3 linked regions of the Caenorhabditis elegans genome follow. The protein of the gene in region 1 interacts with the protein of each later gene in a biochemical or structural test. Each region holds a gene or a part of one and is shown on either strand. Other genes may lie near its edges.

Region 1 (9,727 bases):
AGTTCAAAAAACAATGAAAGAAAACAAAAATTACATGTTATGCGGTGAATTGTAGGGTTTCTCTTTTTGTGTGTTCGTGTGCCTTTTCTTTTCTGAACAGAAATGCCCTATTTCACTGCATTTCCTCCCCTTTTTCACATGATCGACAGATGGTTTTGTTGTGCACAATGCATTGGCAAACATGGTATCCGGAGAAGATAGACGTATTTTTATACGGGGCAGCTGGGTGAAATAGGTCGAGAGTTTAAAAGGTTATCATATTATTGAACGTCTAGGAGTTACATTTCATTCACTTATCTTTTTAATCTATGATGAAATTGAAGCATATCTAGAAACTGGGAGTGTGACTTAGTTAGATTTTCTGAAATCACTACAGGATTTTCTTTGGGCTTCACGATTGAGAAAATATTCAAAATGAATGAAAACTGCTCAAGAAGTAATACAAATAATTCAAAATAAATTTGAGAATGCCGAACTTAAAGTTTTTAACATTTCTGAAAAAAATTAAAAAACTATATCCTCCACTCGATATTTGAGCAAGTGCGCGACTAGTTCTGAAAACTATAAAATTTTTAATTATCCGTTTTTACCTCGAAGCACTTACAATTATAAATTGCAAACCTTTTTAGAATGTCCTGTTTTTTTTTCTATATTTACTTGGAATTTTGTCGGATGTGATGTGTTCAATTTCACAACGGAATCTTTTTAACTTTTAATTTTATACCAAGCTGTAAGACAAAAGTAAATTGCCTTTTTTAGTCAACTTTGCAAACTGCTGCCTGCATTTGCTTTTAGCTATGAGATATTAAACTCTGAAAGAAGCTTGAAATTACAGTGAACCTAACTATCCTCTGATTCCATATTGCCAAAAAGTTGCTTGCCACATTCCCAAGTTCGCCCTCAAAAAAAGTTTCAATTGACAAAGGGCATATTCCCTTGATGCATTGAATATTATTCCAGTGACACGTAGCCTTTCACCTCGAATGTTTTTGTGTCTCTGGTACCGCAAATCTCATTGTCCATTTCCGTTGATCTAATCTAATTCATCATTTTTACCCATCTGGTGTGCAGTTTTCCGGTGCGGTTGTCGGCAGGAAAAGACAAGAGTGCTCTTTTATTTTCATAAATCAATTAATTTTCTTTGCCTTCCTCAGCCTCTGACTTCTGAGTCCAAAAATGGAAAGGCTCGGTTTTTCGGTTTTCAAAACTTGGAAGAAACGTATTTTTGTCGCTTAACCAACTTTAAACTTTTTCAAAAAAAAAACCCCGAAAGATAATATGCTCCATGTCTACAAGGCTTTCAAAGTGTCCAATTTCTGTTGAAAGTTCCCTGTTCTTAGTCTCTATTCCAAAGCACAGAGCAAAAGTTCAGAGTAGGTCAAAAGAGCCGCCGGAGATAAAAAAGATTTCCAAAATACCTGAGGCAGTTGTCATTTATCAGTGATACACGATGAACGATGTTCAAAGGCTGAGTGTCACTTGGACTAATTGCCACACACGCACACTCACAACTCTTTTCATCCAATTCTTCTTTTTCTCACATTTATATGCCAATGGCCTCTTTTTTTGTGCGTTTTTCTTATTGAAGTAATAAATCAAAAAATCGAAATAAGAAAAAGAGTCTTATTGTGATGCGTCAGATAAATAAACAGGTTCCTCTCCTCCCCCGTTTGCAAATGAGCACTCCATTTGAGAGCATATCCACTTGCCGTTCTCTCTGACTCTTTCGACACCTTTCTGTGTTTTGAGATTACATTGGATCTTGGATCTGTTCCAGATTTATAGCTTTGTTTTTTCTTTTCTCACAATTTTCCAATTGACAAGTCACATAAAATAATAGGGAACTGCTATTTGAAAGACTTTTTGGTTTTTGATTTCATATTGCCTAAATGGCTTCGAGGCTAGTGATTTTTGGCGAAATAAAAACCTAATTTTTTTAAATCGTGAGCTCTTTTTGTTTCAACTTTGCAAAAAGTTGGCAATCCCGAAACTAAATTATTTTAAATGGTGAACATGCTACATAATTTTACTACTTTTCTAAAAAAATATATCATTGGTATTCCCCACAAAATTATTTTTTATTGCGTTCATCTATTCAAAAATGGTACTTCTAAAAAAAGGGTTTAACATCAGCCCAAAAAACGTAAAATAAGCTGATAAGCATTATTGACACTTTCCAGCATTGCCCTCATTCATGAACTCTGTCCGTAAGAGTTGTTCATCTATTTGCACATTTCTTATTCAGAATATAGAACTAGTGAATCTTTCCGATAATCCTCCAACCACTTATAAACTGAACCGAAACCGAAACAAGGCAATAAACATTTGGTGAAGATGAGCTTGTTCTTCTTTATTCTGTGGAGACCGTTTAGAGGTGGATAGCTTTTTTTCTAAGAATACAGTTGTTAAAAAACTAGTTTTATAACTTTTGATACAATTATTTTCAATTTTTTAAATAAGGTTTCTACCGTTTTTCTTCTATTACTATTATGCCTATAATACCTTTAAAAAAATAGCTACTTACCTATTTTGAACGGAGGTTTTTTTGTTATTATTATTCTTGTTCGATGATTCCAGTTAATTCATGAAAAGCCAAGAAATTGAATTTTTGGAATTGATAAACTACTAATTTCAGATGAGCAACCAAAAATTTTAAATGCATTGGTCTAGCAATAACGACGGTCTTTGAAAATTATCTTACTATTAGCAATCATATTAATAAAGGAATTGCGGTAATTCAAAAGGGAGCATCTTCCTCCGATTGCTCTTTGGCAACACAGTTTACCTCTCTCGTTTGGTATTAAAACTCCGCACGGGCCGTATTAGGAGTGTAAATACGGGACCAAGTAGTGTGACGAACCCTGCGCACAAGTATCAAGTTGACTCTTCTTTCTTACATTCCTACATTACCACCACCACCACTTTCAATCTTCCGTTTGGTATTCACTGACTTCAACATCTTCTTATTGTGCCAATTTATTTGTTCCTTCGCGTGGTTCAGAAGGTTTCTGAACGCTAGAGCGACGTTTCTTCGGTCAATCCCCCTATAATTACTTGTATTTCCGATGCGATCATATTCCCACAATTTTCTGAATTTCCCATGTTTCATCGGCTTTGAATAGAAACCGAATAGAATTTGACCAGAAAACAAGACGCAAAAAAGTGGAACATTAATGCTATAATTTGATGAAAAACCTTGCTTGTGGAACTTTGTTTCAAGTTTTTACCCTAGGTATCCATTTCTTCGGTTTCAAGTCCAGTTAATAGGATTAAAGCAAGAAATCAAAAGATTTATTTTGAAACTGCCAACTTCCTTTACCGTTCAATCTTTCAATTTTCTTTCGTTTCTTTTACCGATTTAAATCTTACTCTCTCTGAAGGTGCAATGTCGATTGGATTTTCCTGGTTCCGCAGGAGATTCAGCTACTACGAAGATAAGCAACAGTTCTCTGAATGTGCAAATGACGATGAGCCGACTGTTCAATTACAAGGTGTGATTTTTTTTTAACGTAAAATAGTTTTTTATTGTGATTCGATTTTTTTCATATTTGTCAAACTCTCTTTTGTTTTCAATATGTAGTATTCAATTAGAAAAGCAAGCTAAATTTTTTTAAAATGGCTAAAGTTTATCAGATATTAATAATTTCTACTCTCAAAAAACTTAAAAAAAACATTCCCCTAAACTCGACATTTTGAATAAAATTTCGAAAAAAATCCATATAGGAATAAAAATTACTGCCTTCGTGCCTACCAGCTATTTCAAACTTACATACATTGAAGAATAAATACCCAATCCTTGTAAATTTGACCTCAAATGTGACGTAGCTGAGCTTCTGTCTGTTCCATGTTTTGATTCGTAGGGGAGTCGATATTCAACGGGTCATGAAAAATTATAAATTTTATTTTATTTTTCATAACATTTTTATGTTTCAGATTTTATCTAGGTAAATTTAGGAAGAACATATCGTACTGAGTAAACCATTTGAATATTTTCATGAGCATGTTTTGAAGTTTTTCAAACGAAATGCAAAAATCACCTGCAAAACTTTTACCAACTCTTTTCCCATTTTCCAAGATCTTCCGAACTTTGAGACCCACTCATTTAAAGTCCTCACCAAACATCGGTATTACAAGACCAATTTTCGCATCTCCCGATTAAAACTTTAGAAATACATACAAAAAAAGAAACTTTCAATTTCCAAGTCCGATCATCAAGGCACATATTGTTTTGTTTGTTTTACATCCTCTTAACCTGGCTCTCGTGTAACGTGTCGATGTTTACTACAGTTTCCTTTTTTTCTTTAGTTGAGATGACACACATCGAATCATTTGCTTTTCTGATTTTCACCTCTTTTTGATCGAACCATCGCAGTTTTTATTTTATTTTTTGCCCTCTCTCAATTATTATTTACTAAAGAGAAATTGGAACGTGAGATTGTTTAGAAAAAAAAACTGTTTGATTTTATTGAGAAGCTTGTTTGATATGTTGGAAGGAACCTCAAGTGTTCATAAGATTTAGTAGTTGATGAGAACTTGAGGAAATGAGATATATAGAGAGAAGGTGGAGGAAAAGTTTACAAATTATCATTTTGTACGTGTTCGTGTTGTTACAATTCAATTTCATTTCTCATAATCATATCCTTCTCGCTTGTTGCAAAATCCGCATGACCTAATACTAAATCCAATTTTAGGAAACATAACCTCATCCTTTGTTTAGTTTTCTCTTCCTTCCTAAATGTCAATATTTTATTCACAACCTAGCGATTTTGTTTAGCAAGGCATTTTGGGAGCTTGGAAAATTTAGTTTCTCTAAATTCTACAGTCCTCCAACATTCATGTTAATAGTCTTAATTTAACAAAACACTATATCCCAAATTTTATTGTTACACTCATTTAAGTTTTTTTTTCCCATTTTATAAATTTTTTCATTCCATTTTTTCTGAAAACATACAAAATCTAAACAATTATTTATTTCAATTTAGTCAAGTCATCATTTAAACCTACATATACATTTAACTCGAAATTCCAAAATTTCCGAATTTATATAATAAATCCAAATAGTTCACATCATCATAATAATTCAACAAAAGTTGACCTCAAACGCCACCCATGCGCATTTTCATGGATGCCATGCGTATGGTTATTATTATTATGATTTTTATTATGTCCATCATCACACTCCGAAACTCTTTTGATGCCCTTCCGCAGATTCACGCGCCTATTTAAATGTTGACGCGGCAACGGTTTTATTATTGTTTCGATTAGGAAAATTCTTATGTAATCAGCCGATTGCGTAGAATATGAACATTTTGCATTGCATTGTTTTTGTTTGGTTTCAAGAATTTTCTGAAGCATAGGTTACATCATCGTGTAATTAGTTGAAATTCAAAATACAAGGTTTTCCATCACCAAATTTTGAAGACAAAAAGTGCACCACAAAATAATTCTGCCAGATCATAGTCAGTAGCTATAGTTTATAAATTGTAAATTCCATAAAAAATTGACCCAAAGTTACATTTTCTTCATTGTATAGACGAAAAACAAGTGTAAATGAGTTCGTAATCTAAACAAATTGAGTGTAGCAAAGTACTTGGACAACGACTACAACCTCCCATCCAGAAAATGTCATTTGTCAGTTTTCGATGGCATCTTTCCCCCCCCCTCCATTTTCCTTCTTCTCTCAGAATCCTAGAATACCCATCAATGTCTTTTAGTCAAGATATTTCTCGGCCCATTTTCTTGAATGGAATCATGCCGCATTTTCTCAATGCTTTTTTGTTCGTCCTTTCCCTCCCTTCATTCAATGCTCAAAGTGTCAAATATTAGAAGCCACAATTACACCACAATGTGTGTGCGCGGAAAAGTGTGGAGGAGAACATCTGCGACTAATGTTATTCAATAATCTCTCTTCTAATACAAAATATTTGAATATTTGTTATCTGCTGGGTGGCAATGGCGGCGGCTCCGGTGAAAAGCCGGCACTCGAGAATTGTTTGGAGATAAACGATATTCACATTTTCAAAAAATAATTGTTGATTATATTTGATTTCGAATTCAAACCTGCCACTTCAATTCTGTTGCTCCTTGAATCTTTTTCAAGCCAAAAATTTCAATTTGTACATCACCAAATGTTTGATAACACCAAAGACATCCAAGTTGTTAATAACTGAACTTTGTTATTTTGCACAAAATTTCAGAAGAAATATTTTGATTATTTTTTGATACTTTTTGAAGTGCTAGAATCAACATTGAATTTGAGCTAGACAAATGACCAAACCATCAAATCTCTTAGAAAATAAAAAAGTGAAGTCGTATTGACCATATAAACAGTGAACTTATTATTGCTTTGCACGACATTTAAGCACAAATATTTTTGAAATTATATTGTTGATTGCTCAATATATCACCAAAATATCTATATATCCTTGCCACTGAGAATTATTATAAAACTGATTTCGAAATATTTCTTCTCATCAATCGTGAAGAATAAATATAACACCAAGATTCCAGTATTTTATTTTAAGATTTAGAGCAATATATTGTTGTTGTTGTTCTTAATTCTCTGATTGCCTCCTCATCTACTACTCGGTTTTTCGTATTGGCACCATGATCTCGCCCCTTGCGAGTCTGGCGTGATGATTGTGTATTTCTACGCGACAGTTGCGTAAGATGTGCGTGTGATATCCGAGAATTAGGCGGCAAGAGATCAACTGAAAATCAATAGACGCAGAGAAAGTATCGGAAAGCCACACGGACTCTCACACGATGCCGGTTGAAAATGATATAACCGCTCCTTCTGGATTTTGATTTATTCTTCAGCTCATTGATCTATACTTTTCTGTTTAAATTATTATTTTGAACCTTAAAACATCCATTTTACTGTATGTAGCCTTTACAGTTCTAAATTTTGCGCTGTCTTTTCCAAAAAAGTGTGTTTCGAGAAAACAAAACCACATTTAAATCAAAACAAATAAATTATAGATATCAATTCAAGGAGTACGGTTCAATTTCTTATAATCCGAACTTGAAAATCGCCCGAATCACTTAAGATCAACTCTTGGAAAATATACTTGAGCAATCCCGGAAAAAACCTCTGAGCTGCTCCACTCCGTTCATTTTCTTTGCACTTGTCTCTTTCTCGTTCAATACTTTTGTCATTTTCTCTTTTCAACTGATAACTGTTCCAAATCCTCAGTTTCCATCCGGTTGTTTTGACGATTTCTTCTCAATTTCTTCGTTTTGACCGATGACAACCTTTATTTTTATTGCGATTTGTTATGTGAAATAGAAACGATGATTATGGGCAAATCTATAAAAGCAAGAAGAAACGATGAATGTCCTTCATATTTTCTTTTCTTTCGGAATCTTTTTACTTTCCCGAGACTACTGATAATCTCATTAACCGGAGTGGAATGGAAGGGAGCGAATGAACTGTCAGGATATTGTACTTTACGTTCCTCTTTATCTTTTTATCTTCTCACCTGACTGAACAAAACACATTCAATTATATATAGTGTTCCCTTATATTTATATATTTTTCATCTCAGAATTTGTATTGAGAAATTTTTTTGAAGCTAGTATTCCTTGCAAATATAAAAACCTTTTTTTCAATTGGACTTTTGAAGCTAAAAATAATAATAAATGACCATTTCATTATCAAGCCGGAATGAAGAAAATTCGGAACTTGGCGTTAAGCTTTCGAAAATAGTAACTTGCCAGTGATTAGGTATTTATTAAAACTGATAAAATCTAGGTGAAGCTCTTTTGAAACTATATTTAAAAAAACAAGAATTGAGTGAAGCTTTTCTGGCTCAACATTTGCCAAAAGTTCGCGACAGTTGCGTAAACTTCTCAACCAAATTGCCATTTTTGGGTGAAACAAAAATTTAAAATTATGAATTTTTAATAGTACCATTTGTGAAACTGTTATTTTTTGTCTCCTACTCATTAAAATTATAATGTCTGAACCTTAATGACCTTTCTTGACTTCACGCCCAGTTACCCATACACTGACCTTTTTCGAAAATGTTTTATTCCTTAAAATAAGGAAACCAAAACCTGGTTGACTTTTTTGTGACAGTAATTTTCTACTTTGCTGCCCGTTTCTCGTTTACTATTTTCCAATTTTCAATTCAACTTCTAGAATTGATTTTTCCGTACTTTTGTGTGTGTACACTTGTTTCAACCTCTCGAGTATTCTGCCATCTTCTATGACGACCTTTTGTCCTTTTCTTGCATTTACGCCGAACACATGTCCAGTTGTAATTAGTGGTCTCTTTCTTTCTTGTAGGTTAAGAGGTAAGACTCACTTTCCAGTCAAATGGTTACTATAGTCTGAACCATTTATTCACTATTCAGTTCCTTTTATATTTTATTCAATCAAAACGCCAAATCACTACCATTTTATTGACACCGATTTGATTTTTTCGCCCCATTCAAACCAGTCATGCAGATTGTGAGTTTTTTGTTAAGAATTGAAAATGTATTTTATACACTTCAAATTTTTAGCTGCTGCTGCAGAAGTTGGCATTAAATCTAATAGGTAATAAGACACCCGACTTTATTTTCTTCTTGTGTGGTCAGTGCGGTCATTCGAGATTGTTTTGTATACACATATAATCGCAACAATGAAAAGAAAATAAGCAATGTTGGTCAATCGGCAAATTGCCCTCTTAGACACTTTTTTTTTGAAACTTTTTGATATTGTTGAGAAACGGGATTGGATGTTGGATTTAGGGTTGAAATTTTGATTTTAAAATTGAATATTGTCTTCCCGGTAGGTATTCAAACTCAAATAATGTAAACTATGGTCGTAACTTGAAATTTTCGGTTTTCACTTTGCACCAGCTGCGTTCATTTTTTAGAACCATTTTTTTGCAATGAAACTTGCTTTCACTTTCACCACTCGAGTTCTGCAATGTATTATATAATTTTGAAGTTATTTTAAATAATCTTCTATGACTAACATATGAAACGTAGTTTTACTAATTTTTGACAAGTTGAAATTACTTTTTAAACACATTTTCCAGTATGCAGGATTAGGCAGTTTATGATTTGTCCAAAAATTTTGAAGGTCCCAAAAAATTTCTATAGTACCTCTACGGTTGTTCAGATATACTTACACATGTACTTTGGAATTTTCTGGTGACATCTAGTGAAAAAAGTAGAATCGTGTTTTGCAGTGCTCAATAAATTTTGGATGCTCGGGACGAAATTAGTAGAAAAAATTAAATATAACCCGGGAGCTATGAGACCTTTGAAAAAAACGTGTTTTCAAAACTAAAAATTTTTATTTCAGAATTTTCAAGCTTAATTTCAAGTTATAAGGAAACTCAAACTTAACCTACGCAGAATTTTTTCCCTTCAAACCGTTTCATCCCTCTTATCACTTCCTTCTTTTTTTTAGCTGCATTTCTTCTTTTTGTTACACGTCCATTAATCACCATTTACTTTCTCCATAATGATGTGAATAGAGGAGGTCTTATTTCTAATAATCTCTGTGTTCACTTTCACCTCTATTTGCTGGACCACTTTGAGTATCCATTTCTGGCCGTGTGTTAGTCATGCAAACCTCTAGTATTACCTGTCAATCGAAAAGAGGTTGAGGTTGGTGTGCTCATGGGAAGAACAGCATTTCCGACGTCTTCGATCTCTTATTATTATATTATTTGTGTCCTTATTTCTTATATTCTGTGCCTTGTGATGTCTAATAGATTATTTTCTGTAA
Region 2 (9,401 bases), on another chromosome or scaffold:
GATCGAGCCAGTCGATGGATAAAATTGAGCGGCTCTAATTTTCAAAAACTAAAATCATGAAGGCAAATGGAAAGAAGGCGGGAAATGAGAAAGTCCTCGGGAAATCGAATCACAACGTTTGAAATTGTATGCTAGATGAACATGGAATACTGTCAGAAAATATTGAAGATTATATCTTGATAAAATTTCTGACTGGTACTCATTGAAAAAATTTCGGTCTAGATACAATAAAAAATTATACATTTAAAAAATGTTATGGGTAATGGCTTTGTGAATGAGCATAAGAATTACTGACAGTTGAACTACAAGAACTTGAATTTAAAGTTCAGGTAGTTCTGTTGTGAGATCAAAGTATGGCTTTTGTCGCTTCTAGCGGTGGCAGTCCTCAATAGGAGAAAGTGGATAGAAGATGAATGAGGAACATGGTGTAGGAAGAAGCGATTGAATAAAAATCAATATAAAACATGAAACTAAATTACAGGAAGAATGATTTGGATAAAGGAACTGACGGATAAAATAAAGAGTCGTAGCTATGACTCTACTGGTTCCTTAGAACCACGAGAATTTCGAGAATACCGTTCTTTTGCTGGATCAGGGAATACATACTGACATGCATTAAATGAAGGAGGCATTCCATAACCAAATGCTGTTGGACAATCAATTGCAGATTCTCTGAAAAGAAATTAATATTCAAAAATCCAATAATCTTAATGACTTACTTGTCTTCATTAGTTGTAGACGATGCACATTTAACCATATGTGCATAAAGATCTCCTGTTGACGCAAAGTTGACGGCTTTACACAGTGTACATTGAATATGACTGATATCTCTCTTGATTGGCTTGTGATGCTGTACACTGTGTTTGTATCTTTTATCGAACATGTGAGTTCTATCGTGTCTCTGTAAAATATTATTTTTTAGCCTTTATTATATTATCTCAATTATTGTTGCGAAAAATACGGTACCCGGTCTCGACACGATAAGTTTTGTAAAAAAATTAAACACGCGTGCGCCTTTAAGAAGTACAGTAATCTCAAATAAAAATTTGATTTTTCAGCACTTTCGGCGATTTTTCATATTTTTTCTTATGTGCAGTTTTTTTTTTTAATTTCAAATTGTACTTTTTTAGTTTTTCTTATAAATAATTATATATTATTCGCAAAAAACATATAAAATTCAATATTTTTTTTCCTAAATTACAGTACCCTTCTCCAGGGCTGTAGATATTCTTTTTCGATTTTTCTTCGTGGACTGGCGAAGCCGTATTTTTTTATAATGTTTTTTAAAACAAAAAATTCTGATATACTGAAAAATTCATAAATTTTCAAATTTTACTTTTTTTGGTAATATGACGAATTTCTACTTTCTTTAAAATTTAAAATTCTCACACAAAAAATACTCACCTGTACATAATAATATTCCGGAAGTGCTCTGTTGCATTTCCCATCGTTATAATCTTCATTGAGGTGTAGCTGAAACTGATTGTAGCTGTCAAAAGATCCTTTACAATTGAAACAGAACACTCCAGCATCATTGTGACCGAGACATTCAGAAGATTTCAAAGTCACTTTTGGACGAGGTGGCTGACTTGATGGAACTAAAACATCTTTAATCGGATAATGTGGAGTATCATCTTCAAATTCTTGTTCTTGAGCGTCGTAAAATCTGCAAAAATCTTGAATTACTTTTCTGTTGAAAAAAGAAAGGGAAGACTCTTGAAAAAGAAAAGACAACGAATACGGAGGTGCTAATCGAGTTGAGAGTCACTCTTCTCTCTTTTCTCATCGTCTTCACCACTTCAGTTCAATTTCAAACTCACTCTTGGTCTGGCTCAGAGTCTAGTAATTGATCTATTCCAGGATCTTCTTCTATTTCAACTTTTTTCGGTGCAACTTTATTGGGTCTTAATGTTTGTTCTAACACAGCCATAGCGTTGAATCTCCATTGCTTTTCCGAATTTGTAGCCAGTTTTATTTCTGAAATTACTTTTATAAGGATTATTGAGAATAATAAATTATTCGTACCATTCGTAACGTCATAATCTGCAAATTTTCTCGATTCTTCCTTCCTCGCAGCTTTTCTTTTTTCTTCCTTGTCACAAACATGTTCTTTAATGTGCAATAGCGTACGAGAAGCAAGTCTACAGTGATCACAGAAAAATGGAAGAACTCTTGGTTTCAGCTGCTTCTTGTATTTTCGAACTAGATTCACTGCAATTCGATGGGAAGGGCTTCCACTGTTCCATCGTTTTGGACGGCTGAAAAATAAATATTTTAGAACATCCCCGAATAACAAAGATTCAAGCATGACATACATCGAATAAAACACATTACTCCTCTCTTTTCTTCGTTTCTCTTTGCTCTGTCGAAATATTACACTGGTGTGAGAGCAAGAACACATGCTATCGAAGTCCAGAGACTTCCGATCAATACTTTTTTACTGATATTTTTTAAATAACTAATTGGATTTAAATGTTCTTCGATTTATAATTCTTTTAGAGTTTTTTCAACTCACCTTAACAAAATTCCACGAAGTGACGGGTGCAGAAGATAGGCTGCACCAACTGGTAAATCGCGAATCATGAGCTTCCGATTATGGGGTCGATGCATTTTTTTCTTCTGCTTCTTGCTGGAAGCCATCGATTCTAGAGGAGGTCGTCGAGGCGGAAAAGGAAAGGGAAAGAGTAATCTGCAATTTGCACAAGTTGCAGAATTTTCGTTGGTTCAAACGGTTTTGTCAGATAATAGAGCGAGTTTCAGAAATAAAAAAAATGATACAAAATTTGAAAGTCTTTCAGAGTGCTCAAATCATAACTGGCTCTCACTTCAGTCAAACATATCGGCTTGGATACAAACTACTTATCATTTGCAAAGCTCGTGGAGATCCTAGACCGACAATTAAATGGTATAAGGAAGGTGCTGAAATTCAACCAAAAGCTAGCATTCACGTGAGTCATGTACAGTAATCCGTGGGTTAACTGCTTTACTTGCAGTATTACGAAAAGCCAATCGAAAATGATACAATTTGGAGTAAATTAGAAGTTGGTAAGTGAAAATTGTTGTCAATCAAGAATATCTTTAGAACCCTTGCGAAAAATGATACAATATGATAAGAAACTTTTTTGTCACTGTCAGCAAATTTTGGAATTTCGCTCATTTCTCTACAATTTTTTTGCCATATTCAGCGCTTTTTAAAGTTTTTCTTCTTAACTGTGAGCGAATGGCAAACTACAATAACGACAGCTAAATATACGACAGTTGTCATATTTTCAGATCCGGCAACAATGGGCGATCAGGGTGTCTATGCATGTGTGGCTAATAACCCGCACGGAGTAATGGCAAAGAATTTTAAAGCAGAATATACGTATTGAATAAAGATTTTTCACAAATCAAATAATTTTCTCTCACCTAATCTATATCATATAAACTTGCGAAGGAATGCGTTTGAAACCTCCTCCTTCTGTTGCGTGCAGGCGCACGAGCGACAAAACAAACAGTGTTTGGGAGTGAGAGAAGCGGGATGAACAGGTGTGCGGTGGCGGTAAATTCGAGTGAAGGCGGGAATGTGTTCAGAATGAATACAGAAAAAGAGCTGATGACGTTGTAAACGAAATTCATGAACGAAAAGCAGGCACATCTCGCGCGGAAAAGGGAGGAGACGCGGCAGGGAACCGGATTGGGGGACTATTGATCGAACAATAAGGAAGAAGAGAAGTACGCGCCGTCGGTTATCGAAACTCCAAATTTTTCTTCTTTTAATTGGGAAAAGTATTACGAACATGTAATTTCATGGAATTCACACGGTTTACAATGAAGTTATCAAGAGAAAATATGCAATTCTAAAAATTTAGGGCAGATTGAATCGTCGATTGGATTGAAGTGAAAGAAGAGAAATAGAAATTTCGCGAGTGAGATTCAATCGGAGCATTGTTAGAATTCTATCTAGAAATGTAAGACAAAAAATACGAAATAGCATATTGAAATATAAAACCTTAAAATTAAAAAGAAGGCAATTTTAAAATTAATTTTACGAAATACAATTGAGAAAAAATGGAAAACACAACGGATTCAATCGAAGTTAATATTCTAGAGATGGTATTTATAAATTGAGGACAAATATTCTGCACTAGGAGAAACAAGAAAAAAGAAAGAAGTTTCTGGCTGGCAATCGTTCGCACAGGAAAAATAAAAAACTAAAATGGCCGCCCGTCTGTTAGCATGGAACGGGTTACGCTAGTTATAGACTAAGCTTACATACAAAATATGTATGTATAATATCCTCACAGCGTAACAAAGTGAGATATAGTTTAAATTCTAGATGATGACTTTAGAAATCCTATTTGGTGGTTTTACGAAGTTTACAGCGTCATTTCTAGACTGAAACTGACCAGTCTGGGATATCATTTGTCTAATCAAGTACTCTATCTAGATAACTGACCGATCTAATAAGTTTTCACGAGTTACGGGACCTAAATTTGAATCCAATAATTCGGTGACGACTGGCGACCCTATGTTAGATGTAGTGATGTCTCCATTCTCTCAATACTCTCTCGTCTTTTTCTCTGCGTATCTCACCACTAGCGTAGTCTATGAGTGCGAGCGGCCGCGTCGCGGTCGTCTTTAGGCTCGCCGACAAACTGTCCACCATCTTCTTTTTTTCCTTTTTTCGCCGTGTTCAACAAAGCTCATTCACGCTTTTCGTTGTTTTACAGGCTTTTATTGTTTTTTCTAATTATTGATTATTCATTTATAAGAGCAGAATTAATCAATAAACGTAGGTAGACGATCGAAGTATCCTATCAGTTTTTAATTTGATAAATTTTCTCGAAAGGAGCAATCATGTTTTAAATTATTTAAAAAATGGTCCGCTTAAGTTTGTCTGACTGTTTAACAATTATTGAAATCATTTTCGTGACATTTTATTGAACATTGCTTCCAAATTCCCCTAACATAATCCTGACTGAGATGTTCCAGTGTTTCATGTCGAATTATTCCTATTTTTGTACCTTTTCTTAAATATAACTAGTTTCAAATATATGCAAGTTGTTTGGTACGGAAAACCGATTCAAACTTCCGACCAGTTACCGATGAATCATTGCCAAAATTCCTCATCTAAAGAATTATACGCACAAGTTGTTTTGGCCATTTTGCCTTATTTCTTCATCGTTTATTAAGGCGTTTACCGTTTTTTTTTCTTGCTCTTTCTTCGATAATTATTGCTCCCAATGGTAAAGAAACGCTCGTGGCATTTCGAAAGAGACTATTGATTTTCTGCCTGATGTTTCGCAATTCGTTTTCATTCTCTAGTTATCTCTCCTTTTAAAACGTGTGCGTGCACATTTATGTGACTCATCCGTATTTTTCACTATAAAGACGTAATTTTAATACTTTTATTCATTTTTTTTTTCAGGCGAAATGCAGACGATCAAGTGCGTCGTCGTTGGAGATGGAGCTGTCGGTAAAACTTGTCTCCTGATCAGCTATACCACAAACAAGTTTCCTTCTGAGTATGTGCCGACAGTCTTCGACAATTACGCCGTAAGTTTAAGAAAAAAAAATTATTTTATATAAAAATAATTTCCGAATTTCAGGTCACAGTAATGATCGGTGGCGAGCCATACACATTAGGATTGTTTGATACTGCTGGACAGGAAGATTACGATCGATTAAGGCCTCTATCGTATCCACAGACCGACGTGTTTCTTGTTTGCTTCTCCGTGGTTGCTCCAGCTTCATTCGAGAATGTCCGAGAAAAAGTAAGAAATATTGTTCTCGAATTTATTCTATATATCTGAAATTGTTTTAGTGGGTGCCTGAAATTTCGCATCATTGCTCAAAGACCCCATTCTTGTTAGTTGGTACTCAAGTCGATCTCAGGGATGATCCAGGAATGCTCGAGAAACTGGCAAAAAACAAGCAGAAACCAGTGTCAACGGATGTTGGAGAGAAGTTGGCAAAGGAATTGAAAGCAGTGAAATACGTTGAATGCTCAGCGTTGACGCAGGTGAGTCATTCTTTCCAAAATAGTCATTGATAATATTGAAACATTAAAATAAAATATCATCCAATCCACGAAACCTAATCAAATAATAAATTTTTAAATATTAAAACGAGGCTCTTGTGGAAATACGTGACACTTTAAAATATAAATATCACTTTTCAGTTAAATTGTTGCTTTATATTTAGCAACGGTCATGTTTTCGGGAAAAACGAACAACCAGAATTCTGTTTTTATTGTGCAAAAAATTATCTCCTGAAATGCTCTATATTCCGGCTGAAAATACCATAGTTTTCATATTATGTTGATTAAAAACGCTTGTATATTGAAGTTTAAATAGTTTATTTTCAGAAGGGACTGAAAAATGTATTCGACGAAGCCATTCTGGCCGCTCTCGACCCACCACAACAGGAGAAGAAGAAGAAGTGCAATATTCTCTAGGAACGTCTTCCTTGTCTCCATGTTTTCCTCTGTTTTGTGACTGTGTTTTTCTTTCTATGTCCAAATTTTCTTAGCCCCCGACTTCCACTCTTCTCATACTTCTAAATTTCCCTGAAAAATGCCAAACGAGAAGCGGTTGCTGTTATTTTTGACAGCATCATAGAAGATGATTTTCTTCAATTCGTCTCCTGTAACTTATCCAGTAGAATCTCGATGAGCATGATTCCAGAATTTTTTAATTGTTTCGTATAGAATTTCGATAAGCAGGGCAGTTTATAGTTTCTCATCTGTTTTCGAATTTTTATCGAATAATCCCCTCGAAAATTTTTAAAAGTTCATCCAAATTAACTATCATTCTTTTCAATGACACCTCCTCTTTAACATTTTCGTCGTCGTTTTTATTTTCTTTTTTATCCCAAAACGTGTTTATAGTCCGGATACACCGTTACGTAATGCGCCTTCTCCTTTCCCATGGTTCTTTTTATAATTATATAATAGGTGTTGTATAGCACAACCAACTACATCCCGAGTCGCTTGTTTCTTCATTTGCTGCTCAAAAATACCGACCAGTTTGTTTTTCTTCTTTCCTTTTTTTTGTGCTTTTCTGCCTTCACACATCCATTTCCCATTTTAAACTGTTTTCTCATCCACTACGTTTTGTGTCTCCCTCCTCCTTTCTCCAGAACAACTCTGTATTTTAATTTTTCTACATATTGTTGTTATATATTTGCGATCCAAAACAATAAAGGTGTGATATAAAAAATTAAGATGTTTATAAAAGATCTTGAAAAGTATACAAGTGGGTGTTGTAGAAAAAGAAGAACCGGAACCATAAGGCATTGAGAAAAATAATTAATGAGTGGGTGAATTGGAACGAAAAATAATTATTATCACTGACAAAAAGTACTGTTTGACGAGGAGAGGAACATAATCACCGTGTATGAGGAAATGGGCTTCAACTAGAAACGATAAGAGAACATAAAATAGAGGCAAGGATGACTAGAATTAATGAACAAATTGACAAAAAATGAAATTATTTCACTTCAATCAAATGACGAAGAGATTTTGGAGTACTTGAATCATTATAATGTTTTGTTGTGAAACGAAGACCAGCAAGTAGACAATCAGACTGAAAATAAAACAATTAATATGGGTTGCTCAATTTTATTCTAATTTTTATTATGGAAGCGCAGAAAAATGCTCATTTTGAAAGCGCGTTTGCAATCGCGCTTTACGGACAAACTGTTGGGTCTCGTTAGGTATTCGCAGAAAACTAGAAATTCGAACATGTTCAAACATTTTTCGTCTGCTTTAAATGCTTTCCGCTATTCTTTTAAATTAATTTCAGTCCGAAATTGATGAATTAAAATTTATAAACGAAAAAAAAATTCGATTTTCATTGTCACATGCATTTTTAAAATAATAATTTTGAAACAAAAATCATTAAAAACAACTTCAAATTGTATGAATTAATGCTGTCAATTCCTAACGAGACTCATAGTTTGGCGTTGGAGCGAGCTTGCCCCTTCATTTCATTTTTCTGCGTCCCCATAATGTTTGGAAAACGATATAAGCAATTTTCGCTCTACTACACGAAAACTCTAAATATGAAAAACGCTTACCTGTTCAGGAGTGGTATTTAGTTTGATCAACCTGACAACATCTCTCATATCAATTGATGAGTTTGACACGAATGCACCATTTTGATCTACGTGATCGAATAATATTACAAGGCCAGTCATCACTCGACAGCAAAGATGTTTCGATGAATCTGTCAGTCGTGCCAGACATTCGTCATTTGCTAACATGAATCGGCAAACGCTGAAAATTTTAATACAATTTTATTTTACCGTAACTCATCATATCGTAACTCATGACTGATCAGTGAAAAAAGTAGTTGAAAATCACTATTAAAGTGCAAAAATGACCAAGAACTTTCCAAAAAAAGTTAATGTTTCATTTGCAGTGAAAAAGAAGATCAATTCATAATTTTGGAAGTATTTTTGAAAGATTTGTCAGATTTCCAAAACGTTGACTGAAACTTTTCATAACACTAAAAATTATTTAATCACGATATTTAAAAGATTTCCATTTTCTTGCTTGTGTTCCATAAATTGCGGATGGAGTTTACGATATATTCCAAAAGTATGTTTTTCAGTTTAATTTATAGAAAACTCACTTGATAATTGTTACAAAAACATCAGTTGTATTGTTAATTGGCAAGCTTTGATGTGTCTGCATGTACGAATCTACACCATTACAAAGTGCTTTTAACATTGGATTTCCTTCACAAAGAAACATTTGAACTTGTGGTAATTCGGGAACTCCTTGGTCTCTACAAATTTAAAATTATATTAGATTGTTTCAAATAAATTAAATACTTACTCAAAATCCTGATAAACAATATGTTTTGCTCGTCGGTAATAACTGTAATCATTTGTTATCTGGGCGGTTCTCATCTGAAATTAAATTTTTTTCTTTAATTGGAAAAGTGGAATTCATACTTTTACGACATCAAAGTCCAATACAAATCCAATTAATCGTGCAAACTGTTTGGCAATTGATTGTTTATTTGCAAGTTGTTCTTCGAGAGGTAATGGGCCAGATGATAATTCCCATAGAATTATTGGTACGATTTTTTCAATTTTTGCAACATGTTCATAGTAGGAACATGTTCTGGCAACAAATGGTTCAAGCTTTGTCATTAAAACTTTTAAAGCTTGAGTATCACTGTCATTTTTTAATTGATTTCTTTCTGCATAGCAACCTGAAAATTGATGTTACAAGTCTACTAAAAAATAAAAATCTAACGTACCATTTCCATAACTTGATACATCAGCAAGTACTAAATCACAATCATTTAATACTTCTTCAGCCATATTATATATTTCCCTTTCTTCATCTGTTGGTTGTGCATTTTCAAAATCCACAAAAATCTCGACCCATTTTGAATTATCATCTG
Region 3 (13,026 bases), on another chromosome or scaffold:
ACTGCCTATGTCTCTATATCTCTTGATACCTCATACCAATTGCACATCATACTGTCCTGTGCTCCATTTGAATTAGAGAGCATGGGAAGAGTTAGAGACGCAGACTGACAGGTACTGTATGACGCAACTCCATCATTATAATGTGCATGTTCATCGATTTCTGCCTTTTTCGGGTTCAGCTTTTGAATTTTTTTGCTTCGAAATTAACGCTATTTGCCAAAAAATTGAAAAACGTTTCTAGGTAAAATTAAAAATCGACGATGTAGATTTTGTTTTCTGAACTAATGTGTGAATTGTATTTTTTCTTGTAATCATTGAAACTATACTTTTTCCGTTATTATTCGTTTGATGCTTTATTTCTCTAATCTTCGAAACGAAATTTAAAAAAATATTTATAAAAATTGTGTCCAAGTTTAGTCACGGTGAGTTAACATTTTTGCTATATCGTAATAGTGAGGTCTCCAAGGTGGGTAGGCAGGTTTTTCTGCCTTTCTCAGGCCTACCTGTCTGTCCACTGCCTAACTTTAGACATAATCCACAGTACAGGCAAAATTTTTTTTGGTAGCATTTTGAGAAAAATTCTTTTTAATCTAGCGTAAAAGTTAAATTTATCTCAATCTCGTTTTTGACGGAGAATAGCTCGGTTATTTGTAATTTTAGTCGAATTCAATAACGAAAAAATTGAGCAAAATTTTCTTTACATTTCACATTTTGTAATTTTGTATTATAATAACCTGACTCACTTGACTGAGCCGCGTTATAAGCCTTCCGATTCAAGAGAGCAACTGGAAAATCAAAGGAATTTTTAATATTTTTACCCCAATGTTACTTGGTTATTCAAAGTAAAGTTAACCCCATTTTGTTCTGACTTTTCATGACTTTTTCCCACGGTATCATCCATTCATTCATTTTTTTCCCTTAACCTCACTCTCTCTTCTTTTCATTTTTGTCTGTCCCGTCATGCCAGTCATCCGTGTTGGTATAATTACAATATGAAGCAGCGTTCGTTCTTTTCAAGGACAATTGCCTTCTTTTTTCTCGTTGTTCCATGAATTCCATATATTCCAGAGAAATTGAATCGTCGGTGGCAGAGGATTGAAGGTGGCAGAGGAGAGAAGGGGAATGTCAACTGCTGTAGATCGACTTGGTAAGCCTTTTCACTTTTTTTAGAAACAGTGTCACCAACTGAGTTTTGAAAGAAATTAGATTACTGCTTATATCAAATTATTTTGAAAAAAAAAAATTGGAAAAAGTTAGATCCGAAAAATATATTCCAAAACATGAAACCCCACCAATTTTCTTTTTATTTTCCAAACAAAAAAAATTACAAAAAAAAATCATTGGGTTTCTATTTGTAATTTGACGTTCTCAATTGAATTACAAAAAGAAATGAAAAAAATTAAAATCCAAAAAAATTTGTCGAAGAATGTCCTTCCATTAAATTCAAATGTCTGCCATATCATAAATGACGTAATAATACCTGAATATTCGAGAGAAATGAAATATGATACATGTTGAGATTCAAGAGGTCCCTCATGCACTTCTTGCTCACTTATACGCTAGGTTCTAGTTTAAACTTCGTCTATTATCAGAATTTGGCAATACAAAATTGTGTAAAAATGTTTTAATTTCAAGACAACATATGCCCCTCTATTAAAATTTGAAATCACCCCCAAAAAGGAAGGTGTGTACTGCGTTTTGACATTCAAATCTTTCAATATTCACAAAAGTTTAATATTTTCCAAATTTTTTGCATTGTTCCTTGTTCCAATATGTAAAAAATATTTATTCTGTGCAATTTAATTTTAACTGCAAGAGGTGCATGAAAACTGGAGGGAATATTGTAATAAGATAAACTCTGGAATTTTCAAAAACATGATCAATTTTGAATATTTAACATTATATGTCAAAGTTTGATACAAAATGCATACCAATTTGATGTGTTCTTCTCAAAACCCACACTTTCTTCGGTCTCAATTGTATCCTCTCTTTCTCTTTTCCTTCTGTTGTACTTCCTTCCCTTCTACTTCATTCTCTTTTTCTATAAAATCTTCTCTAAAATCGTCGTTTTCTTCTTCTTCTTGATCATTTCCGCCCACCTATCACTTTTTCCCTCATGATGCCCGCTCACTTGTTTAGCAACACGAACAGCTGTGATTTGCCTCTTGCCACTGATTCCAATCACTTTTCTCCTCAGCTTTTTCTATTGATATTTCAATTTTTGTTTCATATTTTTGATTTTTTTTTCTAAATTTGGCTCCGCCCATTCATAGATGTCTGTGAACTCCTTCCTGCTCCGTATAGAATTATTAAAGTTTTAATGGTATAGAAGAAAAACTAAAAATACAATTCAAAGTGTTGAATAAAAAAATAATTTATATATCTATGTGTCTACTTACCGTCTATTTTCTGAATTTTTTGTTTGAAGATTTACGAATTTCCCCGATTTTGGTAATTTCAAATTATAGAATTAAATGTGAAATGTTCGCGTACAAAAACGGGTGTATACAAGCTGGCATTTTTTACCTACTTGCCTTAAAAACTTGAATCTTGAATACGGTACGTGGTCCCGAAAATAAAATTGGTGACCGAATTTTCTTACGGGACAGTGTAAAAAATTATCCCATATTTTAAGAATTTATAATAATTTTGTTTTCTAAATTTTCCACAAATTCCGTCTTCCACAACTGATCCCTAGGTACACTCTCCTTTCGAAACCTACTTGAAACATTTTGCAAACTTTTTTTCTGTTTGAATTACGATATGCTCGTATGTGTCTCTTCGGATCTCCATGATCTTTTCAAAGTCATTTCGATGGTTTTATTTATATCCGTGGCGGCGCAAACTTGTCATCAAAAAGTTAAAGCATGCGGTGGGAGGCGAGAGACACTCTTGACGCGTTTTTTTGTTTTACTGTGAGCAGATCTCTTGAGTCTCTTGGAGACTTTTTTTGCTAGCTTCACTAACTATTACAAGACATTTTAGAGCATAGTTTTCTTTCTAACCAGTGGAGAGTTTTATCTAGAGTCTTTAGAGCCAGTACCATTAATAAATTTCATCAATTGTATAGAGCCACATTTTTAGAAACTGTATCATTTTTAGATCAACCGTCGTACTTACTATCTTACGGCAGCCGTTTAGTTACATTTCAATCGAATTCAATTCGAATTCCCTCAAGCCTGTGTACATCTCAATCTCTTCCTCCCGCTCATTCTTGATTCAAAAACAAAAACTTTGCCTCCATTTCTTCCCGCTCTTTTCTATGTGTCGTTTATGTGTCTGTCTCTGTATCTCTTTAACTTTCACACTATTTCCTTTTATCGTCTATCTCTTCTCTTTTTTGAAGAAACTCCTAAAGATTAAGGGCCAAGATCATGAAGAATTCCCATGTTCCATTTTCTAGTTTTTCCTTAAATCAAATAATATTCTGGTAAAATAATAGTTTCAAGAAGTTTCAAGAACTTCCAAACAACTTTCACAATATACCGTAGAAATTCATAAAAGTTTTGACATTTCTCATTTTTCATGCATGATTGGCATGTTCCTTTAGTACTCGATCCGGTTTCACAACACCGTTTAAAATGTGATCTATTCAAACGGAATATGTGATTTCAATGTATCTCTTGTCATAGGGAGACTTCTGCTACTTGGCCGAGAAAAGGGATACCTCGGTCATCGCTTTCTTTGGCGGTCATGTTGCTAATAATTTATTTAGATTTTCCAAAAATTTTTTTTTTCGAAAAAGAGAGATTGGATTACTAGATTGGATTACTGATTTGACTTTCAAGGTTTTTTTAAATATTTCCTCGTTATCGATCCCTTTTCCAAGTACCAATTATTTCCAGCAACCTGGATTATTTTCTAATTAAATTTCAATTCAATTAGCAAAAACATGTACTAGGAATATGTGTAATTGAAAAAACTCTTAACGAACTGAATTGCATAAAACCATTCCTATATGTTGCTAAAATGTCCTAATATCATAGAAAACGGTTCAAATGTTTTTTTAAAATAGTGTAGTCAAAAAGTGGCTAGTTCTCACCTTCTTAATTTTGGAATTCTACAAAAAAGTTTTTTTTTCACAATTTTAAATTTGAACCAAAATTATCTTAACACTTTTTCACAATTAAACTAAGTTTTCCTATTGATCAAGCTTTAACTAATATCAAAATGATCATTCCTATTCTGAGAAGCAAATTAATCAAATTAAAATATATGGAAAGTAGACATATCTACATTAAAAAATTTTTTATGGGAAAATAGACACTTCTAATTTAAATTTTTTTAATGAAAAGTAGACACTTCTACTTTAAAAATTTGAGAGGTGAAGTGTCTACTTACTATTAGACATCCTTTTCAATATTTTAAAAACTTAGGCTACTGGATTATTTTCTGAGGATTCCTCATCAAACTGTAATTTTTATAAATAAAAATTTGTATTTTTGTTATCCAGATGCTATTCTTTTTTCAATGTTTTGTACTTCTTTTATGTCATCTCCATAAATCTTTTTTCCTTCTCCTCCTCTTTCTTTCTTCCTTTTTTCTTTTTTTTTGTCGGCTTCTTCATCGTTTTTTGTCTTCTTCCTCCCACTTTTTTCCACTCACTCACACATATTTTGACACATTCTCTCACATTTTTAGTGGTCCCCATACACATGCATACACACTCATCTATTATTGCACTTTTCCTTCTTTTATACACCCTCATTGGTACCGTTTTTTACTATTTTGAACATCTTGTTGTAAATTCGATCAATTGATAATTTGTTGATTTTCCGAAACTTGACTAAGCCGTCGGGTTGCATTCTGAGGTTCTGAAATAACTGAATTTTGGACTTTTTATAAAATCCAATTACATTATAACTTCTAATAAAGCTCTTTCGTCCGCCTTTTAATTGTTTTTTTCTTGATTTTCTCCTGAACATTTTTTGAATATTTCAGTAAGAATGCCAAGCGACGATCGTTTTGCGGATGCGGTTAAACCAGCTTTAGGTACCCAAGAACTTTCTAATGGAGGCTTTCCGGTGGAGAAATGCTCCCAGTAGTAGTCGTAGTACTAGTTTGGAAATTATGAGTTTTTTGATTAATGGGAAACTTATTAATATTTGGATGGAATTATCATAATTTTGAAAATTTATATGATTTTCATACTTGATAGTTTTCAATAATAAAATTCTTAAAAAGTGGGTTTTCACTTTTCAATTTGAAACATTGAAGAGTTCAAATTCTGTAATTGAAACAAAAAATAAATAAATATATTATTTTAATTTCAGAAGCCCTTCTATCGGATCTTCAACACACCACAGAAGTGCTCCGCCGTGCTCATATAAGTGATCGCCGCTCACAGAGTCGTGATGATTTTGAGCAATCCTATGATCTTCAGGGAAATCTTAACACACAGAGGTTAGTTTTTTTTTAATGTTACAAACCTTTCCATACATGTTTTAACATAAACTAAACATCTAATATTTGTGTCAGTGTGAGCAATGGAAATATAACCACTTCACCCTACAAACGTCGTTCGTCAGAAGGAAAAGATTATTCAAAAAGTCAGGAAAGGATTTATGGTTTGTTTTTCATGTAAAGAACATTAATATGTAATTGTATCTGTAGAAAATGAATCAAGACTTAACCCACCAGTCTATTCACGTCCAAGTGTCCAAAGTCTATTGTCTCAAGTCGAAGAACCACCAATTCGAGCAAGCAGGTAGGAGAAAACGTTTTTTGTTTTTTTGAAAACATTTTTATCTTCGGAGTCATATTTTGAAATTCGTGGCCTAGAAAAACCTTTTAAAAAGCTATACTATGAGTCAATTTAAATATTAATTTCAAATCTTCTGATTTAATAATTTCAAGAATCTTGCGATTAGGATTCTTAAAAGGAAAAATTTAAAAAATTTTGATTGGCACTTTCAAAAAAATCTGTAAAACATTAACATCTTACATCTGAGAATGCGAAAATATAAATCAATGGCCTAGAACACACAAAAAATGTTAGACCAACAATTCAGAATTTAGAATTCTATTAGGCATTTTAATTCGAAAATTCATAATTTTTTGTAGCCTAGAAAGTTCACTTAAGGCCTCGACATTTTTATAAGATTTGTTGAAAATTGTTAATTTTTATATCAACATTTTTTGTGCATCTTCAAAAAAATTGAAAACTTATGTATATCACGAAAATTGGTTCAGATATATATTTTTTTAATTTCTAAAAGCTTTCCAGACAACAAAAGAAAAATGGCCTTTAAGTTCCAAAAATAGCTCCGAAAATAAAAATGTTGAAAATATAAAACTAGAAAATTCCGATTTGAAATGGTCAAGCCCGTTTATCAAAATGCCAACTCCGTGTTCCATTTTCCCGCCGGCTCTTAGGTCATTTCCCGTGTTTCTGCGTCTAAAATCCCGGGAACAAACAAAAACTCAAATGTGAAGGGAAGAACGAGAAAAAAGACTAATAACATACACGCATATTACTTCTACTCGTCTCATCCCGTGTCGCAAATCATCTCTTCTTCCCCGGTACAGAGGAGGAGCCGGTTATTTTATTTTTCACTGAGTTTCTTCGTCTTGCTCAGTATCTCTTGAGCTCAACAGGGGTAAAATGCTGTAGGGCGGGAGAGTACCTACTCTCTATCAAGTGAGAAAGAAAAATATAGAGAAAAGGAGCAGCACACCTTTTTCTTTTCCACGCACACAACACTTTTACCTATCACTTGGCGGAATGATGCGCGAGTTGCAACAACGGCTTGACCATTTCAATGGTCCAAATTATGCACAAAATAGTCATTCAAACCACCAACAACATCATTCGGTTTATAGCTCACGCAAGAGTCTCGGACCACCAAGTCAGGCACAATCCTACTCTGATGTCGTAAGTTTTTATTTCTTTTCGGGGGGAGCTTCTGGGAAGGGAAACTGAAATGTTTTCGTTGGGAGACCTTAATTAAAAATGTCCTTAAATTAGAATTTTCAAAATCCCAGAATCTTCATTAAACTTTCCCAATCTCTACAAATCTAATTCCGGATATTTCTGTGTTCACAAATTTTAAAACCTAATTTACTGATCCTGAACGATATGTATTCAACTTAGACGCAAACTTTATGAATTTGTAGTTTTTCCTATTTTGGTCACATGACTACAAAGTAGAAAATTCGGTCATTCTTTTAAAATAAAGGTTTCTTGAAATTTTTGGGACTTTTTGAAATAAAAATAATTTCAAAATGTTTTTTGAAATATTCAATTTACTGTCAAAAATTGGCAATTACTCGGGTTTTGCCACTGGTAATTCAAGAAATCCACCAGAATATTATTTAATTTTTGTTCAATTGTTCTAAGTTGACCATTTCTTGACAAAACTTTCAAAAATCTCAAGAAAAAATGTAGAGTGTTTAAATATGGTATTAGGTCATGATGGACTATTACTAGTATGGTTTATCAAAATCCACAATTCTTTCACTTAAACGTCATTGCTCCAATTTGAAAGATCATAAAAGATTTGGCAACATTTCACAACATAGTCTCCTCATTTAATTTGAATACATTGCTCATCTTGCTTGTTTTGTAGGATTCCATTAATCCCAAATGCAAGCGTATCCCCATAAAATTCAGATGCTCCACTACTTCCTCTGCTTCTTCTTTTCCCTTATTTTCATGTTCTGAGAGCAACTATTTGTCTCCCTCGTTTTCGTCACATTTTTCAAAAACTTTTCAGTTTCATATTTTACAACATAGTAAAAGGAGAGGAAGCAACAAAAAAAAAACGAAAAGTGGAGCGAAATTTCTGTTTGTAAAACCTTCTTTTATTGCCGCGTGGCTCTTTCTTTTACGTGGAAACACGTGCTAGAGAGTATGTGAGAAGAAGAGACACAGACGAGCTCCACGAGCAAACAGTACGGGGGGCTTCTAGAGGTTGAAGCGGGGGTGTAAATGAAGGTGAAACGATGGGAATAGAGAAAGGGAGATATTGTTAGCTTTTCCTTGGTTTTTGATGAGAAACCTTTTGGAATGAGGTCATATGGAACGATTTTTAGTGTATTTTGATGACTATTTGGGAAGGGGATCTAAATTTCGAAATTACAAAGTTCGGGTTTACAGAGGATAAATAAAAACATAGGGAAAATACTTCCATACCCCGCTATCAAAAACAGAATGACCTCGCTAAAAATACGCCGCGGCAATTTTACTAATTTTTCACAGAAAGTTTCCAAAAGCATTCTAGAAATGGATTTGTATACTTTTGTGTGGTCTAAAAGATCATTACGTAAATTAGAAAATAAAAATTACCCCGTTTTTTTGGCATATTGCACCTTTTCTGTTGCCACTTACCAATGTTCAGTCATTTTTCATTTTATTAGTTTTTCAGCTTACTTTCCGACAAAAACCTTTTTCCATTAACTATAAGTAAATATGCCAATTCCAACAAAACATACACACACAAACATAAATTTGTCATAATGGTCTCGCAACGAATGAAAACACACATTTCCAATCGTTGCCCATATACATAAAAACGTGGAACTTATAGAGATCGAACGGTCGGTCTCCATCAAGAGACCCACTGCATTCGGATTCAATGATTGGAACAATGAATGGAGAATTGAGCTCAAAACATGGAGTCAATACAATTCCAAAAGGAGATTGTGCTGCCTGTGGAAAACCGATTATTGGACAGGTGAGCGTTTTAATAAAACAATTCTAGAATATGTGAAAAGTTCTAGGATTTATTAATTTCGCTGTGTATTACTGTTTGGCATCCTGAAATTTAATTCTGATTAACTGTGACGTAGGACAGTTCAAAATAATGTTCTCGCGGTATTTAGTTAAACTACGAGACTCTAGAAATTTCCTCAGAATAGTTTTAAAAAGAATTATTAAATTTCAACTTTGGAATGTCCAGAAAATCAAATTTGAAAAATAAAACCATTTTTCAGGTCGTCATTGCTCTTGGCAAAATGTGGCATCCGGAGCATTACACTTGCTGTGAATGCGGTGCCGAACTTGGACAACGCCCATTCTTTGAGAGAAATGGACGTGCTTTTTGTGAAGAAGATTATCACAATCAATTCAGTCCAAAGTGCCAAGGATGTCATCGAGCCATCACTGATGTAAGTGACGTTACAAAATTCTTAGTCATAAATATTTGGTACAATTGGATAATAGTGAATACAGAATATTGTGCATGATTTGTAGTATTTCCAGTTTTGAATGTACAACGAAAAACGCCGATTAGTGGAGTTTTGCAAAAATTAATGTGGACACAAGTTTAATAGTGTTTTTTTTTGTTAATCATCTTGAATATATTTTCATGAAATAAAAATGATTAGAGAAACAAAATTTAAGTTTCCAGAGATGTGTGAGTGTAATGAACAAGAACTTCCACATTGAATGCTTCACGTGTGCAGAATGCAATCAACCATTCGGAGAGGATGGATTCCATGAGAAGGTTGGTTAAAAAAATCCGTTTGAAAAGCCTTTCAGTTTACACTTTCAGAATGGACAAACCTATTGCAAACGTGACTTCTTCCGTCTATTCGCCCCAAAATGCAATGGCTGCTCTCAACCAATCACCTCAAACTTTATCACCGCTTTGGGAACTCATTGGCATCCGGATTGTTTTGTCTGTCAGGTATTTTTAGTTCATTATCATTTGTTAAACAAGGAAGTCAATTCAAAAATTAAAGAAACCATCGAAAACCGATTGTGCGGTATGTTTCTTGTCGGTGTCTCTCTATTCGTCTATTCGTTTCGTTTTTTTTTTCTTACCCCTTTTTATTTTTAATGAGTGGAGCAAATTGGCTTGTGTGAAGTGCCAGAAAATATTATAATGAGAGGCTTTTCGTTGATAGTATGCTGCAGTGATAGAGTTTTGTGGTTTTTTTAATAGTAACATTTGAAGTTAAAAAAATAAAACTATATAAAACTAACTATAAGTGTTAGGTTTATATATTTTTAATTTTGAGCCAACTGACTGAGTTCACATGGGACCTATAAAATGTGCAAATTTACAAGTTTGATTGAACCTTCCAAAACTTCATATTAATAAAAACCTTGACCCCTAATATATTTTATAATACCATTAAAAAAGATGTTTCGGTTTTTCGGTTTATTGTATCTTTCCTTACCTAGTCGATATAGACATAATTAAGCATGAAATATTTTAGAATTATTCCTTTAGCTGTAGTCAATAGTTTTATTTTTGGAATAAAATATTATTTTTATTTTGGTGTGTCATCTGTAAACTTCCCTAAATATATGTGGATTGTTCTTTACAGCATTGCGGAGTTTCTTTCAATGGTGCAAGTTTCTTTGAGCACAACGGTGCTCCACTCTGTGAGCGACATTATCATGAATCTCGTGGTTCAATCTGTTCTCAATGTCGTGGAGCCATTAATGGAAGATGTGTAGCTGCAATGGGAAGAAAGTTCCATCCGGAACATTTTAGATGCTCATATTGTAATCATCAACTGACAAAAGGAACATTCAAAGAAGTTGATCGTCGGCCATTCTGTCATAAGTGTTATAATAATACGTATGCATTGACTCCTGCCTAATCTTTTTTTTTCTCTTTTTTGTCTCTCCTGTCTTTTTGTGGTTTTTCAAGTTTTTTGAAGGTGGTAACTGGAAAAGATAATTCAGTAATAGTTTAGAATATTAGGCTTGGATGAAATCGAATATAATATTTTTCTCTTTGAGATTTTCTAGTTCTCTAATGCCATACTTTTCAAAAATTTAAGTGTCAGCTAGCCTAAATCCATAGACTTCAGCTTGACATACAGGATTAAGCCTAAGCCTAAACCTATACCTTAACTTAAATTCCAGTCTACTCAATTCAAAAACCTTCCACCTTACCACACGTCCATTGTATAAAATATGAAAAAAAAAAGTAAATCAATTTTCAAAAAAAAACCAAAATTTTTATTAAAATTTCTACGCATTTCAAAATCAAAATTTCCTCCCCACCGCCATATCAAACTTTTCCCCCAGTCACTTTTTTTCTCAACTTTTAATTGCATTTTATCGGTCCCCCCACCCACCCTCCTTTATCTTAAAAAATGCTCAATTTCATTCAATACAGGGCAACACTCACTTCGCACAACAATGCCCAATGGATGTCACTTATTTTGAAGAGGAAAATGCTTATTGATATATTTTTCCCTGTCTCAATTTTGTTTTGATATCTAACTACCTGCTAATACTTTTTAAATTTTTAAATAAAGTGCGATTTTTTTAATTGGATTTTACTTTTTATAAAATGTTTCAGGTGACAAATGATTTTGATTATTTTGTAGACGATTTTTGTGAAGTTTTTTTTAGTGAAATAGAGGTAGACCTTTTTAATTTTAAATATTTTCAAAAGTCAAATTGAAACATGCATTTTGCAAATTTGAAAATTGAAAAAAAAAAAAACTAAAATAGTCACTGTCCAAAAAATTGTACAAATTATATTTGTTTGAAGCGTGGGACGGCTAACGGTAACATCAATTCTAAATCGGCGAACTTTGTACCGTAATTAAACTAACTAAAAATTAGATCAAAAGATTTACAAAAACGGGGGAGGCACTTGTGTTTGCAGGATGCTGAAAAACTGAAATGTTTGTACAGATTGATGTTGGAATTAATTCGAAAGGACACAAAAAGGCAAGTGTAGTTAAAAAGTCTAGTCATTCGAGGAATAAATCTTTTTAACTTGGAAGCTTTCAAACGACAAGAATTATGATTCGAGTTATTACAAATGGTAAGTTATTTCCTATTTCTGAAGACTGAGCAGTGGTGGGGTGGTCCACAAAACTTCAAAAAACTCTCTTAATTGCGCATTTGTAATTGTTTAGCTATTAAATTATGAAAAACTATTTTTATAAATTTTATATTAAAATAATAATTTACCTATACTCTCATTGTTCGGATTTCTCATTTAAAATTTAAACAAGTAGGCAAGAGTAGTCAAGGATTTTAGAGTTTTTGCTTCTTTTTGGTCATCAAAGGGAAATGCAACTACTGGTGAAACTTTAACCGTACTAATATTCGAAACACTTGCATAAGTTCGGAGAACAGTTTTATATTTCCGAAATGTACCAGAAAGTCATAAAAACGGTTTTTAGACACGCTTTTTATATTCTACGAAAATTTGTTCAGAACCGTCCTATATGGCTTCACGGTGGATGCACAACTTCAAAATGTTCATAATCCTATTTTTGTGCTTCACTGTTCTTTTCATGTTGTTCTATCCAGATTATAAAGTGAGTTTTGGATATTTTTTCATTTGAGAAAAACACCCCAGGCAACGACAAGTTTTTAGTTTGTACCAGTGATCTTTTTGAAACTTCCTTGAAATTTTATCAAAAAGAGCTTCCTTTAATTTTCCGGATGCAAAAGTCATGTAGTTTTTATATTTGCCGAAGCTACCAAATTTTTTGTTTTCACGGCCATGTTGCAAAAGTGTTATTTGGCACTAGGGTGGGGTACGGTAAATACATCTGTGGTTAGTAGCTACTCAAAATTTGTTCTTCCTACCATTGAATCTTTACAAACTGATGTTCAGGTACACCAATTGAGTTCATATAGTCGTGAAACTTCGCTTCCAATCACCAAAAACAGGCGCTTCTTGGAAGCAGCCGACGAATGGAAACAGTGCTTTCAGGAGAAACTGAAAAGGAGCAGAACCGATCCAAAAGAGGTTTAAATTGAACGATGATCCTGATATGACGTCATAATTTCAGATGTGGTACTGGGTGAAACGTGTGATTAATCAATGTAGAAATGAAACTGCATTTTCGAAAATCGAATTGACTGGTGTAAAGAACAAAGATGAGATGAAATATCATGTGTACAGTCCATCTCAGGTTTCTCAATTCCACCACAAAAAAACCAATTTAATTCAAAATTTGCCAGGAACCAAGTGTAGTAGTAACTCTTGGCATTGGTTTGGATGTGAAAGCAGAAACAACACTCAAGGAAACACTTCCGACGAATTCCCGATTCTATGCCGCCGATCCAATATACACTGGAAACGGAGAACTTTACGA

What was found.
Region 2: of the proteins of uig-1 (region 1) and cdc-42, one has a biochemical effect on the other in vitro, tested with the Caenorhabditis elegans proteins (one study listed by BioGRID).
Region 3: the proteins of uig-1 (region 1) and pxl-1 form a complex in vitro, tested with the Caenorhabditis elegans proteins (one study listed by BioGRID).

What each region holds. Positions count from the first base shown.
Region 1 is NC_003283.11:13,286,051-13,295,777, reverse strand, and holds the start of uig-1 (Protein vav), read left to right. Parts: upstream 1-3,385; coding exon 3,386-3,491; intron 3,492-5,061; exon of another isoform or gene 5,062-5,211; intron 5,212-6,601; exon of another isoform or gene 6,602-6,750; intron 6,751-9,702; coding exon of another isoform or gene 9,703-9,727.
Region 2 is NC_003280.10:7,611,042-7,620,442, forward strand, and holds cdc-42 (Cell division control protein 42 homolog), read left to right. Parts: upstream 1-5,410; 5' UTR 5,411-5,415; coding exon 5,416-5,538; intron 5,539-5,591; coding exon 5,592-5,756; intron 5,757-5,806; coding exon 5,807-6,004; intron 6,005-6,349; coding exon 6,350-6,439; 3' UTR 6,440-7,204; downstream 7,205-9,401. Other genes in the region: R07G3.7 (uncharacterized protein), read right to left, coding at 531-672, 720-901, 1,405-1,666, 1,821-1,977, 2,026-2,258, 2,516-2,640; Immunoglobulin domain-containing protein oig-4, read left to right, coding at 2,582-2,749, 2,799-2,948, 2,994-3,045, 3,274-3,371; R07G3.8 (CYRIA/CYRIB Rac1 binding domain-containing protein), read right to left, coding at 7,473-7,568, 8,062-8,260, 8,619-8,774, 8,825-8,898, 8,944-9,206, 9,255-9,401.
Region 3 is NC_003281.10:5,887,927-5,900,952, reverse strand, and holds pxl-1 (Paxillin homolog 1), read left to right. Parts: upstream 1-4,941; 5' UTR 4,942-4,946; coding exon 4,947-4,992; intron 4,993-5,273; coding exon 5,274-5,403; intron 5,404-5,478; coding exon 5,479-5,567; intron 5,568-5,613; coding exon 5,614-5,707; intron 5,708-6,666; exon of another isoform or gene 6,667-6,724; coding exon of another isoform or gene 6,725-6,822; coding exon 6,823-6,874; intron 6,875-8,528; coding exon 8,529-8,675; intron 8,676-8,934; coding exon 8,935-9,108; intron 9,109-9,350; coding exon 9,351-9,446; intron 9,447-9,494; coding exon 9,495-9,629; intron 9,630-10,275; coding exon 10,276-10,554; 3' UTR 10,555-10,680; downstream 10,681-13,026. Other genes in the region: C28H8.8 (uncharacterized protein), read left to right, coding at 12,178-12,240, 12,543-12,677, 12,721-12,843, 12,893-13,026. UniProt on the Caenorhabditis elegans protein: Required for myofilament organization of the pharyngeal sarcomeres and for pharyngeal muscle contractions and hence for pharyngeal pumping. Together with lin-8, might be required for myofilament organization in the body wall muscles.